3 linked regions of the Arabidopsis thaliana genome follow. The protein of the gene in region 2 purifies or fractionates together with the protein of the main gene of each other region. This does not show direct contact. Each region holds a gene or a part of one and is shown on either strand. Other genes may lie near its edges.

The links. The genes of interacting proteins can lie anywhere in the genome.
Region 1: the proteins of AT5G16240 (region 2) and Hop3 fractionate together in Arabidopsis thaliana (co-fractionation; one large-scale study listed by BioGRID). This does not show direct contact.
Region 3: the proteins of AT5G16240 (region 2) and UNE5 fractionate together in Arabidopsis thaliana (co-fractionation; one large-scale study listed by BioGRID). This does not show direct contact.

The regions. Positions count from the first base shown.
Region 1 is NC_003075.7:7,337,518-7,343,399, forward strand, and holds Hop3 (stress-inducible protein), read right to left. Parts: upstream 3,845-5,882; 5' UTR 3,723-3,844; coding exon 2,886-3,722; intron 2,429-2,885; coding exon 2,140-2,428; intron 2,051-2,139; coding exon 1,741-2,050; intron 1,664-1,740; coding exon 1,537-1,663; coding exon of another isoform or gene 1,507-1,536; exon of another isoform or gene 1,463-1,506; coding exon 1,349-1,462; 3' UTR 501-1,348; downstream 1-500. Other genes in the region: AT4G12410 (SAUR-like auxin-responsive protein family), read right to left, coding at 5,439-5,882. UniProt on the Arabidopsis thaliana protein: Mediates the association of the molecular chaperones HSP70 and HSP90. Mediates nuclear encoded chloroplast preproteins binding to HSP90 prior to chloroplastic sorting. Involved in acclimation to heat.
Region 2 is NC_003076.8:5,304,904-5,310,770, reverse strand, and holds AT5G16240 (Plant stearoyl-acyl-carrier-protein desaturase family protein), read right to left. Parts: upstream 4,032-5,867; 5' UTR 3,791-4,031; coding exon 3,669-3,790; intron 2,541-3,668; coding exon 2,042-2,540; intron 1,943-2,041; coding exon 1,502-1,942; intron 1,255-1,501; coding exon 1,132-1,254; 3' UTR 810-1,131; downstream 1-809. Other genes in the region: AT5G16250 (uncharacterized protein), read left to right, coding at 1-507; AT5G16230 (Plant stearoyl-acyl-carrier-protein desaturase family protein), read right to left, coding at 4,827-5,396, 5,473-5,867. UniProt on the Arabidopsis thaliana protein: Converts stearoyl-ACP to oleoyl-ACP by introduction of a cis double bond between carbons 9 and 10 of the acyl chain.
Region 3 is NC_003071.7:19,479,424-19,484,515, forward strand, and holds UNE5 (thioredoxin family protein), read left to right. Parts: upstream 1-1,830; 5' UTR 1,831-2,079; coding exon 2,080-2,231; intron 2,232-2,439; coding exon 2,440-2,524; intron 2,525-2,612; coding exon 2,613-2,710; intron 2,711-2,822; coding exon 2,823-2,878; intron 2,879-3,123; coding exon 3,124-3,241; intron 3,242-3,326; coding exon 3,327-3,354; intron 3,355-3,439; coding exon 3,440-3,531; intron 3,532-3,628; coding exon 3,629-3,785; coding exon of another isoform or gene 3,786-3,790; intron 3,791-3,870; coding exon 3,871-3,995; coding exon of another isoform or gene 3,996-4,003; intron 4,004-4,085; coding exon 4,086-4,260; 3' UTR 4,261-4,592; downstream 4,593-5,092. Other genes in the region: AT2G47480 (DUF3511 domain protein, putative (DUF3511)), read right to left, coding at 4,784-5,092.

The DNA.
Region 1 (5,882 bases), on a different chromosome or scaffold from region 2:
CACTTTTTCTAAGCATACAAATTATAACCTCTAAGTTGGACAAATCTCCTACTTTCTGCATACCCTTTAGTGTTTTTGTTCCTTTTCACGGAAACCATTAGACCAAGAGCTAGTCACTTTACTATTTGAATAATCTTATGATGACATTCTTTCCACATAAGCTCCATTTACTTTGGTAGTTTGGGAGCAGGTGTGAAAATCTTATCACTAGTCTAAAGTTAAACACTAAGTGCTCTTTTGATTTAATTTAAATAAACCTTCGGATTGTTAGCTTTTGGGAAAGACAAGTCCAAGAAGTAACGGTGAAGAGTGATCATGGAAGCAAATTAGGTACAATTATGGAAATACAAATATTTTTAGGCTGTTTGCCACATGAACAAAACATGCAAGTATATATGAATTATATCCTCTTAAATTACTATTTAACATCTATTAACCCTTTTGCATGGAATGTTTATGAAAAATCTATGCAAATTCTATTGCAAGAAAAAAAAAAAGTACTCTGTAATTTGGTTAACCATCGGTACACCTCCCCTTACGAATTTGTGATTTGTGTAGTGAACCGATTAACCGAATAGTATTTATTAGGAACATGTCATAATTTTGAAAATAATCGTTAATTAACAAAATAAAAAGTTATGGGAAATAGTTTTATGTTCTAAATCAAAATTCAGAAATTATTACTTATGTTTTTTCAGTTAGCAAAGGAAAATTACATATCTTAGATTCTGAAACTTAAATTCTAAAATTAAAACTCCTAAACTTTCATAGATTTTAAAATCTTAAGATCTTTTTGTTTTTGTTTTTTGGGCAAACAAAATCTTAAGATCTAAATCTTAAAATACTTTCCACAAACCGTTCCACTAGAGAAAAATCTATATATATATTTTTTTAAACTATATTTTGTATTAAAGAAAAGTGGAAGAGAAAATTCAACACAATCTGATTATTGCACAATTTCTTAGTCACCATAACGTGTGCAATGCACGTGAGGCCCGTCTAAAAAGACTTTTATTCCTCTGTAAAAGAGACATGTAGAAAACAAAAAAGATTTTACAGCTTTTGACTTTTAAATTATAATTTTCGACCAAAAAAGAATTATAGTTTTTTTTAAAATTTTTTGACAGCAATTATAAATTTCGTTTGAAGATTCTTTTGAGAAAATTCGAAGAAGTAGCATATAAAACTAGGAGAACACAGACTTGATTCATTCTACAACAACTCCTCAAACATGACCCAAACCAAATCAGAGTTTCATCAGTTTAACAAAAGCCCAAAAGAACGCAGTGAAAATTTGGAAACATCTTCGGTTTGATTCAATATACCACTCCGGTTTAGCATAACCAATTTACCGGACCTGAACAATTCCGGCACTAACCAGCTTCTGAATCTTGTTCATTACCATTGGGTTCTTCATATGCTCTTGTGCAGCTTTCGGATTCTCTTGAAAGTCCACTAGTACCTACAATAGACATCATCACACAAGTCTCACAGACAGCTTACGAGTTAGAACACAATGCTTGCCACTGCTTTTACCTGTCTCATCACTGGATCCGATAATATGTTCTGAACTTCAGGATCTTGCATTGCCTTTGCTTGTCTCTCCTTCAATTCTTCTGGAGTCAGATCACCACGGCTCGCTTTGTTTATCTGTTCCACACATCTGAAAACAACAACACTTTCACTAGACCGATCTTTGCAAGGTTAAACAACAAAGAGAGAATGCCAAAATTTGCAAACCTTCTAACACCATCAAGGAACTCCTGGTTCTTAGGATCATGTTTTAGCCCTTCTTGATACGTTTCCATAGCTTTATCGTATTCCTTCATGAAAAATTGAATAGCTCCTTTTCTACTGTATCCTTTCGTGAAACTTGGGTCCAGCTCAATGCATTTTTCAGCATCTTTCAATCCCTCTGGTAATGCTCCTAACTTTGTGTAACAAGCAGCTCTGTTGCTATATGCCCTCACGTCGTTCGGGTTTCTTTTGATTGCTTCTGAATAATGCTTCACTGCCTCTGGATACTTTTGTTCTTTAAAGAATCCATTACCTGCATCAATGAAGAAGTGTCAAATGCTTAATCCTAAAATCAAATCACGTTTCAAGATAGTAAGTGTAACTGAGGATCAGTATATATACCTTTCTCTCGCTCCTCCTCGGCTATCGTAGGATCAAAGTACTCCTGTTGCTCCAGCTCTTTCTTGACTTTCTCAGCATCGTTCAGTTTCTTCAATGTATCTGGATTACGATGCTCTGTAAGAGCTTTCTGGAAAGTCTCAATCGCAGGCTCAAAGTCTTTCGAGCATCTCGCCATTTTCACTAGAGCAGATCCTTTTCTAGTCAGAGCTCTTGCTATCATCTTGAAGTCAGAACGAAGTTCTCTGCCTCTTTCAACAGCCTTGTCACAGTCTTCAATGCACTCCTCGTACTGATAATTTCATTTGAGAAATGAAGTAAAACATCACACAAGATACAGTAAGATCCAGATGAACCAACTGTTAATTAAACAAGACTAATGCAAGAACACATAGACCAATGGAATTGAACCACTCAGGATACTTGAAGATTAATTGATTCCAGTAATAATAAAGATAACCACTTCTACAGAACAAGTGAATAAACTCCATCATGAAGCCATAAACCCTAAATTTCTACCTCATCTAAAGCTAACTACTTTCAGCACAAGTGAAAACTTAAGTTCAAAACTCTTAAATCTCCAACAAGAAGCAGATGAAAGTTATCAAAACCCATCAAGGTCATCACAAATGTACTAACTAGTGACAAGCTATACTAAACAGATAAGCTACTTCAAGAACCCAAGATCTCCTCCTTAATCTTAAAGTACCTAAAGGTTTAACTTTTAAGCCAAGTATAAGACTTAATACCTTCCCCATCTCAAGATAAACAGCAGCACGATTCGTCAAATACGAAATATCCTCATCATCGAGCTCCATGGCCTTAGTATAATGTTCAACAGCTCTCCCAAAATCCTTCTTCTTATAAGCAACATTTCCTTCCCCTTTCTCCTTCAAAGCCTTCTCCTTTCTCTCCTTCTTCTGCCTCTCCTCCTCCGTCAACTCCATAGGTTCCATCTCCGGTTCAGGCTCTTTCCTCTCATCAGCCTCCTTCATCTCAGTATCTTCACCACTAGATCCACCAAACTTCACATTCAACAAAACCCCTAAAGCCTTCATAACTCTCTTATCCTTCATATACAAATTAAGATTATTAGGGTTCCTCTGAATCTCCTTCATCGTCTTAACAAAATCATCCTGCTCCAAATAAACCCTAGTCCCCGGATCCGCCGTCAACTTCTCCCACATCTCCTTCCCTTGAAACGCATCAACAAAAGGATTCGACTTTGACGAAACCCTAGATCTCGAAGCATCAGCTAATCCCGATTTAAGCATCTCATTACTCGGATCAATCTCTAATCCTTTCTTATACGAATCAACCGCTTCATCAAACTTGGACAATCCAATAAACGCAGCACCTAATCGGCTATATCCTTTAGACCAATCAGGTTTAAGCTCTATAGTCTTCTTCGCGTCTGATAAAGCTTCTTCGTAACGGTGGAGAGAAGCGTAAGAAGCGGATCTGTTTGAGTAGAGGATGTGATTGGTTGGTGAAAGGTTGATTGCTTCTGTGAAATGGGTTATTGCGGTGGCGTAATCGCCGGAAGAGAAAGCTGCGTTTCCTTTGGATTTTGCTTCTTCCGCCATTGAATTGGATTTGGTTTAGGTATCGTGAGAATCTGCTTGATTGCATTTTTAAAAACAGAGGAAGATGAAGAAGAAGGCACAAGAGAGTTCTCGAAATTTCGAATTTTTTTGTGTATGTCGAGAATGTTCTTTTGTAGCCGTGGAAAAATGTTTTTAAATCTTAAAAATACAAAAGGAAAAGAAACGCTAGAGAAAGGGGTCGAACCTCTGACCTTGTGGTTAACAGCCACACGCTCTAACCAACTGAGCTACTCCAGCTTTTTGATAAGTGATTCGTTATTTATGTAAATATACCGTCTAGAAAAGAATAAACATCCGTTTATGTTCTGTGCTTACTTTTTTATGCTATGTCTTTGTCTTCTGTCAGAAGATTAAGCGTCAGAAAGACATCGTGGAGTTAGCAACGAGACGATCAAAATTCTTCAATCCGAAGTAGTAGTAAACCAGAGGTGAGAAGACGACCAGTTTGGGAGAGAAAACCAAATCGGAGGTATGTATGGTGATTAAAGTTTTGGTTATGATAAATAATATCATCATAAGCGAATAGTTTTGTACGTTTTTGGTTTAGGTTTTAATCAAATGTGTCTTTACTTTTAATAAGTTTAGGTTTGATATTTGGTTTTTTTGTTTTTTTCTAAACATACCACATATAATCATATATATTAATACTCAAAGAACAAGTAGTACATGGTTTCTCCAAATACTTGTAACCAACCAAAGTGGTAAACTACAATCTAAAAAGCAAAATACAAATCACATGAAGATGCAAATTTAGCAAGTGCATCTCCTCTGCACATTTGTTCTCACCTCATCTTCTAAATTTTAACATATTTGATCACTTTCCTACAATATGATTTGAATTTGTATTCAAATTTGGGAAATTTTGAAAATTACCACCTTTATGATACCATTTTTCAAAAAGACCAGAAAAAGGTTGTTCAAAAATTCTAGTTTCATATCATTTCTTAAGAAAAATCTTCTAAGCACTATAAAACATTAAAAATTTTGTGAAAAATCTTATAAATGTTTGATATTATGCATTATAGAAACTTTATAAACGTTTTTATAATATGCTCTATAAAAGTTAATAAAACAAATTCTATGATTGCATTTTGTGTTACATTGAAAATTAACAAAAAAAAAAAACAGTGGTATTATTAAAAAAAAATAAAAATCATAAAAGTGGTATCTCAAAAATTCTTCTGAAATATATTTAGATAGAAGTAATTTCATAATTAACATTATATGGAAATTCTAAATATTGATTGTTTCACTTCAATTGGGGTTTATAGTGGATGATAGGTTTCAGATACAGCAATACACCATCACTCACTGTATTTGATATATTGAAATATAAGTATTCAAAAATACTGATAGCCCAATTTCAGTTTTTTCTGTTTTTTTTTTTTAATTTCAGTTTTTATGTGTGTAATTTTATAAGTTAGAACATAATTTCAGTTTTGTTCTAACTTATAAAATTACACACATAAATCTAAACCATATAGTATTATAGGATGTCAATGTGGTCTATCATCCATGAAATAAACTGATACAAATAATTATCTTGTATTTATGAATCGGTATTTATCGTATAACATAGATGGTAAAAAAAACTAATATTCACAAATTAAAGGAAATCATCCTTCTCTGTACTGTATAAGTGTATATAAATTTTTTTAATCCTCTTTTGATTTTTGACTATTTTATAAATTCAAATTATATAATCTTGTAAGAATTTTTCCTGCGGCAATGATCCCATGCAGCGATCCTCAACTGGACTTTTTCAAAATCCGAAACCCGACAAGGAATAGTGATCCGACCCGGTTGATCAAACCCATGAACCCGCTCCGCTTGCTCCAACAATTCTCCAAACAATGGATGATTAAAGTAAATCACCGGCACCACAACTCGCCGCGTGTCATCGTCTGATTCGCCGACATGAACCACCAAATGTCCTCGAGGAACAACCCGGTTCGACTTTTTCGGATCCTTACCCAACCGGATCTGATTCTGACCCGGATTCTTCTTGCTTCCACCGCACAATCTCTTAGCTCCACGGCTTAAACACCGTGCTAATGACCGGATTCCGGTAACCGGGTTTGTGATTCGGGTCGGGCATCTGTTTCTTGGTATCCATTTGAAAATTTTGACAAATCTGTG
Region 2 (5,867 bases):
CATACACACAAGATCTTCCTTTTCTCCAACTACATCCTTCTCGGCGCTGCTTCAAGTTGTATCTTCCTCACACTCTCTCTCCGTCTAATCCCTTCCATCTGCGGATTCCTCCTCATCCTCCTCCACGCCACCACAATCGCCGCCGCAGTCTCAGGCTGCGCTGCTGCATCTTGCGGAAGAAACCGTTGGTACGCCGCTCACATGGTTGCAACTGTGCTCACTGCTATATTCCAAGGCTCTGTCTCTGTTCTCATCTTCACCAACACGTCTAAATTCCTCGGGAGTCTTAAGTCGTATGTGCGTGAGGAAGATGCTGCTGTGATTTTGAAACTCGGTGGTGGTCTTTGTATTGTGATCTTTTGTCTTGATTGGATCGTTCTTGTGTGTGCTTTCTTCTTGAAGTACTATGCTTATGTCGATGGTGGTGATGGCGTTGCGATGAAGAGAACTGGTAAGGTTCAGAGTGAGGAGAATCCGAAGGACTGGCCATGGCCGTTCCAAGTTTAAAGTTTGTGTCCTTTTGTTTTGTGGTGAGAACTGTTGAGTTAGATCAATATCAAATGTTGGTTTTATGGTTCTGTTTCGGTGGGTATTATTGTGATTTGTTCATTTGTTTTTTGAGTGTTTGATGTAATTCGTCAATGATCTGTTACATATATAAAGTCTTTTCTTATAATTTGTCACTTCGTTTCCTTAAGCGGATACACAAACATAGGAACTTGATGCATAAAAATTGAACTTTTACAAAATCAACCAGTTTATGAAGAAAGTGAGGTAATTACTGTTAACCACAAAAGAAACAAATTTGAAAGTAGAGAGAACGAAACACAAAATTTTACTTTTTAAATATCTTATTGGATTCAGAAGAAGAGAAAACATTACAGAAGTGGATTCAATACTAGCAACAAATAGAGGTGCAGAAATAAATAAATAAAATCGTCAAAACAAAGCAAATTCTTTGGAGTAAGTCATTTAAGTGATCCAAACAAAGCAAAGTCTAACACATACTTTATCTACACACGTTTCCAACATAACATACTTCTGGCTTCTTCATCAAGGTGTTGGTGAAGATCTTTTATAGCTTGCTTGGGATTATAATATGGAAGAATTAATTGCTTAACATTACTTCTTTTAAGCCCTGACTTCTCGACCAAAAATCCAGCTGAATGGTATGTTTTTTGCTGCTTCTTTGGTTCTCCCTTGAGCCCTCTCTTCAAGTTTGCGGATTCTAGCAGGTAATCCACAGAGGTAGTCCTGTTCGAAGCCATTAAAACAAAGCGAAAAGTCAGAGTAGAGTGTAAAGAACTCAGATTCCAATTTGATGAATCTCCAAGTGCACAGGAGAAGTTACAATGCAATTATAGATATGATAGGTTCTGTAAGTTCCTTAATGCAAGGTGAGGTTTTTTAACAAAGTAAACAAACTTAATAGAAGTTGGATGTTTCATGTCAAGTCAAAAACAAGAAAACAAAAACGGTTTCATGGTTCTAATGTTGTTACCTGGGCCCTGTTTCCTTCACTAGAAAGGTCTGACAACTTCTCCACATTCCACCTTTCCACAAGATGTTGCAGTATATCAGCATAGTCCTTGGCAGTGTAGACACCAAGCCTCTGGGCCACGGACGAGAAGTGATCAAATAGATTATCATCACGACCATCATACATCAAATGAGCAGGCATCGAGATCTTTTTCCTCATCATGTCAGCAAAGCCCACGACTGTGGTATCAGGATCAATTTCAAAGAGCTTCTCTACAATCTTGGTGTAGGCGTGTTCATGGCGCCTCTCATCAGCAGCAATGGTGCCACAAATCTTCCCAAGTGTCAAGTCTCCAAGATCCTTTGCCAGTCTAGCAGTGTTTCCATGGGAGATGAATGTAGCTCTTTCTTGAAAAGAAGTATATATGAATCCCAAGTAAGGATTGTTTTCAGTTTTTGGATCCTACAAAACAAAACACAATCAATACGACCAAAAAAAGAGACTTGTAGGTTTAGCCTTTATAAGAAAAGCTAGCCATATTATTATACTAAAGGAGCTTACCATTCCAGAACCAATGAGGTATTGAATAGTTTTTTCAATCTGTCTCATGTCTACTCGTCCAGACAGATAAAGGTACTTGTTAAGAAGATCACCATGTCTATTCTCTTCCGCAGTCCATGCCCTAGTCCATACTGCCCAAGGAGTTGGACTTGCTCCCGTCTCATCTCTAACCCCGTCCAATGTATTAATCATGGTCTGATAAGTCGGAAGTGCTTCCTCTGTGATCATATCACCAACAAGCACTATAAGGTAGTCATCAGAGAGCTCCTTACACCTTTCTCTTAACTCCTTAACTTGGTCATAGAATCCTTCTGACTCAGGTTCAGGGAGAAAATCAGTTGGTTGCCATGATTTCTCAACAGGTTTTAAGTAAGCCAACAAGTTGTCATTAGCCCATCCTTCTAAGGACTTGAAAATCTCCAGCTTTTGTGGTGGCATTGAATACTTCACTTGAAGATGAACCTCTCGAGGAGGAATATACAGTTTCCTTCCAACCGCTCTGCAATTTTTCCATTAAAGAAGATTCCAAAATGATCAATAGAATAAGAAACTTGAGAGACTGAAAATACTGTTATAATTAACATTTAACACAGCCACCAGAATTAGATGATAGGGTTTCGTGTTATTCAGGTAACCAACTGCAAACAAGTTATAGTCTTTAAGACACCTCCAAAAAGGAGATATCCCAACACGAGAATAATCAGTTTCTTAAAAGAAAAAGACAAGCTAATGTGTGATTCAGTGTTCATCATAGATGATATAACAACAGTGAAGGCACTTGCAGTACTACAAGACAAAGCATGCTCTAAATCAAAATTTCTTCTGACCAAAACAGTATCACCAAAACAACAAGCAAAAACATTTCAGACCTAACTTGACCAACTACAGTGCATATAAACACATACATAGATGTGTGCATATGCATAAACATAGAGTAAACGCAATCTACAAAAAGTCAAGACAATATTAAAAAGCCTTAACCAATTTATGTGGAATGTGATTTGATTTTAAAAAGACTTACACTAGCAATCAATTAAGAAAGCATTGATGGAACATTGTAGCCTGATAGGCCAACAACCAAATTAAATAATAGTTTAGTCAAAAAAAGGGAACAATCCATGCATGCATATACTCCATAAACTAGTGATTACAAATACTGAATTGTACAAGAAAGACAAAGATTGCAATTTCCCTATCAGATTTTTTTTTTAAATGCAAAAATTAAGAGTTTTGCGATGTCAAACATGTGATCGCAAACATGTGACATGTCCATAGCTTCAGCAGAAAACAAACTGAGAAGATATATATGATAAAAGTAACTATAATGCTTTAAATAAAAGTAACTAACTATAAATATAATGATCATTTTAAGCAATACGTAAGAACAGAGCACACACAAGCGTATGATCAAAAGCCAATGCTTTAGATTAGTAATCACAGAACGAAATAAATCTGCATTTAAATACAAATTTGATAGAAGCAGGAGATTGCATATAAAAAGCCAATGTTAATAATGATCATCGCTGAACAAACTTAAACCCCAGAAAGAACGAAACCTCAAAATCAGGAAAATTTTGGGGAAACAGAAAAATAAACAGAATTTCTGGAAATGAAGAGAGAAACTCACGTAGAGTCGGAACGAATAGTGAAAACTCTGGAAGATTTGGAGCCATGAGAATGAGAAGAACCGTGATGATAAACAGATGATGAGGAAGAGAACAAAGCGATCCGATCCATAGCCATAACCATTGTTTCTTCTTAACGAAACAAAAATGGAGAAAAGACAAACAAAATAAGATTGAGATATAAGAAAAAAAAATCGATGATAACAGAGTGAAATGTATTTAAGGGAGGAAGCAGAAAGCAAAGAAAAGGAAAGGTGAAGAACCAAAACGATCAATTTCAGAAAACTCTCTGGAACGTGATTATTTCAGCAAGTGTGTGTGCATTTATTGCATAAACGACTCTGTTTGAAAGTCTCTTAAATGTCCCTTCTAGGTTTTTTTTATTACATCACTGCCATTTTCTTTACCTGTTTTGTCTACTTCTGTCGTTATTTGTTAAAGAGGCCCATGGGCCGCTGCAGCTTGAAACGCAAAAAATGCTTGTCGTATTGTAATCATGCTGTCAAAGCAAAATCATATTACGCGACAAAGATCTTTTAGTATGACGGTACAAAACAATTCATGTGTCACTGAATTGTCGTCATAACTCATAACAATAAACTCTTCTTATGACACGAATTTCTCCAAGTCTTTATGTCATCACGGCTGCATGCAACTACAATCTCTTAATAGTTGTGACCATGCTCCTAGCTCCATGCTTTGCAAACAATATGGGTTATTAATAGATGTGTCATCTTCAAAAGAGACTCTCAACTAGTAGTGGATTTATTCAATTGTCGAAAGACATTACACAATGAATCATGATATCCATCATTGAATCAATCGTTTTACCGGTGTTCAAGTTGTTCACACGAGATATGGTTTAACAATCGTGAAGCCGATCAAACTGGCTCGACTGGGATAGACAGAAGATCAACATTGTTATAATTATCCTCATTGTTGTTTCAAGACTGATCAAAACATTATAAAGTTAATAAAAGATGGATATAGTGGTGAATAAATGAAAACTTGTGAGATGTCCATATAAAATTATTAAAATATACTATATAGTTTGGTTACTCACATTCACAAGTGACAACTTGCAACCTGATCACAAACATAATTTATTTATTTATATTTGTTTGGTTTTTTTTTGTTTGTTTGTTATTTTAAATATCTATCTATAGTTTCACATCTCTACCAAAAACCCAGCTAAACGAAACAGAAGGTTTTGACACAAGTTTGACCCTATCATTAGCTCTTTCCTCTAACCTCTTGATCCTCTGCGGCAAGGTGCACAAGTACTCCTGTGCTCTCCTTCCTTCTCCTGATAACCCCAATCCCAAACTCTCCACCTTCCACCGCCGCAACAGAAACTCAAGTATCCCAGCGTAATCCGCCGCCGTGTAAACTCCAATCCGCTGCGCCACGGCGGCGTAATGATCAAACAAATCGTTATCTCTTCCGTCGTGCATAAGATGAGCCGGCATTGTGATCCGTTTCTTCATCATACTCGCTAACGCCTGAACAGATCCGTCAGGGTCGATCTCGAATAGCTTCTCCACTATCTTCGTGTACGCCGTCTCGTGTCGCTTCTCGTCGGCAGCGATTGTGCCGCAGATCTTCGCGAGGGTAACATCGCCGTATGTTGTGGCTAGCCTAGCCGTGTTGCCGTGAGAGATGAATGTTGCTCGCTCTTGGAATGATGTGTAGATGAATCCATTGTATGGATTGTTCTCAAATTTCGAATCCTAAAACGTAACGTTGCCAAAAAAAATATTAATAATGTAACCAAATCAATAGTAACGATAAATGTGAAATACTTACCATACCAGAACCAATAAGATATTGTATAGTCTTCTCAACATGTCGCATATCAACACGACCAGTTAGATAAAGATACTTGTTGAGTAAGTCACCGTGACGGTTTTCCTCCGCCGTCCAGGCTCTAATCCACACAGCCCACGGCGATAAACTCCCACCGGTTTCATCCTTAACACCGTCTAGTGTGTTTAACGTCGTTTGATACGTTGGAAGTGCTTCTTCTGTGATCATATCTCCCACAAGAACTACAAAGTAATCGTCAGGTATCTCTTTTGTTCTTTCTCTGATCTCTTTTACTCGGTCGTAGAATTCGTCGTCGTTCTCTGGCGCAGGTAAGAAGTCTTGTGGTTGCCATGAATCTTCTACCGGTTTGAGATAAGGTAGTAGTTTTTGTTCTG
Region 3 (5,092 bases), on a different chromosome or scaffold from region 2:
TTTAGTGGAAGAATTAAACTAATATGATGTTTTTCTTTGTAACGTATTTACTATTTTCATGTAATTTAATAAAGAGGGTACGAAATGTAGGTGTACATTTGTTTGGGCTGTATATATTTCTATTGACATTAAATACGCCAAATTAGAAAAGAAAATCTTTAGTTGGAAGCATCTATTATATGTACCTCTTTCGGAATGTAAAATCACGTTTAATATTTCTGAACTGGTAATCAATCTCATCTCCTAAAATTTAATACATATCATCATTGTCAAACAATCGGAGTAGCGACGAGAACTATCATTGTTTTTCTCTTGTGATATTGCCGGCCAAATATTATTACCTCAATCATTTTGAAGCGAGTAAACATAGTTTTTTTCCCCCTTTTTTTTGTTCTTGTACACCAACAGAAAGCTGCATCACATCTGCGAATCATCACGTGCCATTCAAGTGATTACTGGAACGTGACATGAACGAATCTTCACATTGAGTGTTCCAACTCTCCTTTGTACGAAACTCCAAACAAGTAGATATATATTCAATTATTATGGATGTTGGAACAATCAAATTAACTCTTGTCCTTCTTATCGTAGAGACATGAAATTAACCCAATTCTGTAAATGAGTAGTAAGTAATCTATATATATATAGTTGACAACAGATAACACTATAATATATGCGTCCTTATAATGTTAATGTAATTATCATGGTTTGAGTTAACGTATAGAAGCATTGAAACTTAGTTGCAGACCGAAAATGATATACGATCTTAAGAGTTAAGAATCTTGAACTCGGCAAATTTTATGAAAAAAAAACAATTTCAACCATTTCTAACTAGTGATTAGATGACCAATAGCAAGCATGCACCAACGACTTCATTTTTATAAACATCATAGGGACCTAGACATATGCATTTTGTGGGCAACGGCCTACGCATTAAATTTGTGTTTCGAAGATTAAATTTATGAACAGAAGGCAACTTGCAAATTTGCTATGTACAAAAAACACAAAGGAAAAGTTTGTAAATAGAGACAATAAGGGAGAAATAAAAAGATCGCTTTCTCATAAGTCCGACTTGGTTCCACGGTATCTAGAATGCCCACGTGATGTCATGTACTTTTCCTTCTTCTCTATTCTAATATGTTGTTTAACAAAAAGAAAATTGATTGATAAAAAAAATTGAAAAATTTCATAGTGATATCTAAAGTTTAAACAAATTATCTCTAAGAAAATTGTTAGTATGCCTTGGAATATAATTTCTCAACACACAAACTGAAGAAATTGCTTTTAAAACTGAAATTTATATGGTAATGGCATACTAATAAACAGCTAAACTTTTGTAGTTTTATGTGTGTGTATTAAGAGATTTTTCAAAGTGAATGCACCTTAAGGTCATGTTTTGTGAGGTTTGATGTTGGAGAGAGTCTTTGATCCGCTGAAGAATTGGCCAGGTATCAAAATCATTTCTTAATTTATATATAAAATTTCAACTTTAAAAAAGAAACGTTCAATCTGAGTCTCTTAAAATAACAATGTGAATGTTAACACTTTGTAGATATCAGACTATCATAGATAAGATTGCTACTTAAAACATTGAAATGTTTTGATGATTCGTTAAGCCTAGCAATATATCATGTCGTTATTGGGCTTGTTTACTTACCCAGTTACCCGTATTCCAGTTATAAGCCCATTAATCAGCCTCGTACAGTTCTATTGTTGGTCAGATTATTAATTTTTAAAATAAGGGCGTATTTTCCGAAACTAAAGAAAGTATAGGGTCTTCTTCTTTTCTCTAATTAGGAAAAAGACTTTTTCAATTGTCTTGTCCGTGAAATTATGTGGAGAGCTAAACCATTCATAGCCCGACATGTAACCCAGCCACGTAATTAGACCACTCGATCACCGTTCGTATTAATGTGATTAAATCAACGATTGATATCACGCCACGTCATTGTTTTTCTTTTTTCCTTTGTATCTTCTGTTCTAAGGGAAGAAATAATAACGAGAGAAGAACGTTTTAATAAACAGAGAGCAGAGCACTTGTTCTAAAGATCAAAGCTTAAGTGAGAAGCAGAAAAAAAAATGGCGAAATCTCAGATCTGGTTTGGTTTTGCGTTACTCGCGTTGCTTCTGGTTTCAGCCGTAGCTGACGATGTGGTTGTTTTGACTGACGATAGCTTCGAAAAGGAAGTTGGTAAAGATAAAGGAGCTCTCGTCGAGTTTTACGCTCCCTGGTATGGTTCAATTCTCTCAATTCGGATGCGATCCTTTTTGATCTGTAAATCTTCTGGTCGAGAAATGTTTTGATCTGTGATTGCAGTCTTCTGGATTAATAAGCATGATTTCGATTTATATGTTTTACTGAGAAATTAGAGCTTACTGATGTGTGCTGTTGAATCTGACTAATTGCATTTATGGAATTGGACATGGTTTTAATAATAGGTGTGGTCACTGCAAGAAACTTGCTCCAGAGTATGAAAAGCTAGGGGCAAGCTTCAAGAAGGCTAAGTCTGTGTTGATTGCAAAGGTTAGTGTGATTCTATTTCGGTATTCAGCTCCAATGTTTAAAAGATAGATGAATGATAGATTGTTTCAACTTGTGTATTGTGGTGAAGGTTGATTGTGATGAGCAAAAGAGTGTCTGTACTAAATATGGTGTTAGTGGATACCCAACCATTCAGTGGTTTCCTAAAGGATCTCTTGAACCTCAAAAGTATGCTTTTTACTGTTTATTCTCTCTAAGCAGATTACTTATTTGGTGGATGTCTTTTGTTTATAGATAGTGAATGATTTTGTTTGTTTTTTCTGTTCATCTTATTGAATAGGTATGAGGGTCCACGCAATGCTGAAGCTTTGGCTGAATACGTGAACAAGGAAGGAGGTATGATAGTAGCTAAGCTTGTATCATTTCGGATTATAGATATTTACTTTTGTGGGAAACTTGTTTTAGCTTGGTTTATGACTAAAATTTAGTTGGCGACATGTACCATCATTTGTCACTTTAGGATATATGCTCGCCATTTGTTTCTCCCACTTGTTGTCTTTATAATTCTTCTTCGATAAATTTTGTTCCGACATACCTCCCTATGTTGCAAACAACTGACGTATTGAACAAATATGTTTCAGGCACCAACGTAAAATTAGCTGCAGTTCCACAAAACGTGGTTGTTTTGACACCTGACAATTTCGATGAGATTGTTCTGGATCAAAACAAAGATGTCCTAGTCGAATTTTATGCACCATGGTAACCATACTTGTTATCTCTCTCCTCACCGTCATGGTTTTGCTTTCATGCTGCTATCTTCTAATATCAATTTTCCATCTTCCAGGTGTGGCCACTGCAAATCACTCGCTCCCGTAAGCTCAACTATCTGTTTACTCTTATTATAGATATATAGTCATCTATGCTTCATAACTAATGCTTTTTTCTTTGTATTATCAGACATACGAAAAGGTAGCCACAGTGTTTAAACAGGAAGAAGGTGTAGTCATCGCCAATTTGGATGCTGATGCACACAAAGCCCTTGGCGAGAAGTAAGTTGGACAGGCATTTTATTAATACCGATTTTACTGTTTAAAGTCATTTATGTTTCATAAAACCAAAACATAAAGACAAGTACCTTATATTCAGATATGGAGTGAGTGGATTCCCAACATTGAAATTCTTCCCAAAGGACAACAAAGCTGGTCACGATTATGACGGTGGCAGGGATTTAGATGACTTTGTAAGCTTCATCAACGAGAAATCTGGGACCAGCAGGGACAGTAAAGGGCAGCTTACTTCAAAGGTTCGGTAAAAACATGTCTTCTGCAGAATCACCATTTCCCACTAAAAATTGAAAACTTATGTTGATTCTATCACACTCTCAATAGGCTGGTATAGTCGAAAGCTTAGATGCTTTGGTAAAAGAGTTAGTTGCAGCTAGTGAAGATGAGAAGAAGGCAGTGTTGTCTCGCATAGAAGAGGAAGCAAGTACCCTTAAGGGCTCCACCACGAGGTATGTTAGTAGTAACTCTTAATCGATACATGGAGTGTGAGTGTTGAAAGTTGCCTCTTTAATTATTGGGCTTTCATGATGTCTCTATAGGTATGGAAAGCTTTACTTGAAACTCGCAAAGAGCTACATAGAAAAAGGTTCAGACTATGCTAGCAAAGAAACGGAGAGGCTTGGACGGGTGCTTGGGAAGTCGATAAGTCCAGTGAAAGCTGATGAACTCACTCTCAAGAGAAATATCCTAACCACGTTCGTTGCTTCTTCTTAAAAGTCATATAGCTTGAAGCTAAGAGAATAGGAGTCGAGAGAGTTTATAACTGATACTGTTTTGAGATTTTATGTTTGTCAAGATCAAGAACGTCTGTGGTTATTTCTGGTTAGTTCTGAAACTCTTTTGAACCCAAGTTTATCTGTCTCTGGTGAACAAGCGACCACGATAATCATAAACTTCATTCGCGTTAAAAAAAAAGGTTCAGTAATGGGCCAGGCTCGTATTCATTATTAATGGGCTAGGCTCGTGTTCATAAAAAGTCTGTAATGGGTCATTGAGGTATACAAAGGACATCCAATAAATAAAACATTTGTCTCATTTTTAAAAGTACATATCATCTCCGTTACTGTTTCGTCTATGAAAAAAGTAACACGGAAGCAATGTGATATACTACTAGGCAATAGCTAATCAAATAAGTAAATTAAGTAGGACTACAAAGAAAACATAACCAAAACAAAAAAAGTCTCTCAATGGTTTTTAATCCGGACATGCACCGAGACTGCTGTTTCTAACTCAGAAGTCAGAAACGATGGACAATCTGACAGCATTTGTTTTTAATCCATCGGAATCCATTCTTCAAAGTCGATTTAACTTTACCTTCAACTGTATAAGCTTTATACCTCGCGATTCTCTTCTTCCTCTTCATCTCCGCATCGCTTAAACCTCCGATTCGCAAAGACGACGACGCGTTGCTCCTTCCCGCCGCTACTTTTCCCGGCGGAGGCGGCAGTGACGGAGGATAATCCCGAGTCCCGTAGATCTGATTTCTCTTACCACTCACGATTTCCTTCCTCCGATCAACGCCGTAAGTTCTCTGACCCGACCCGTA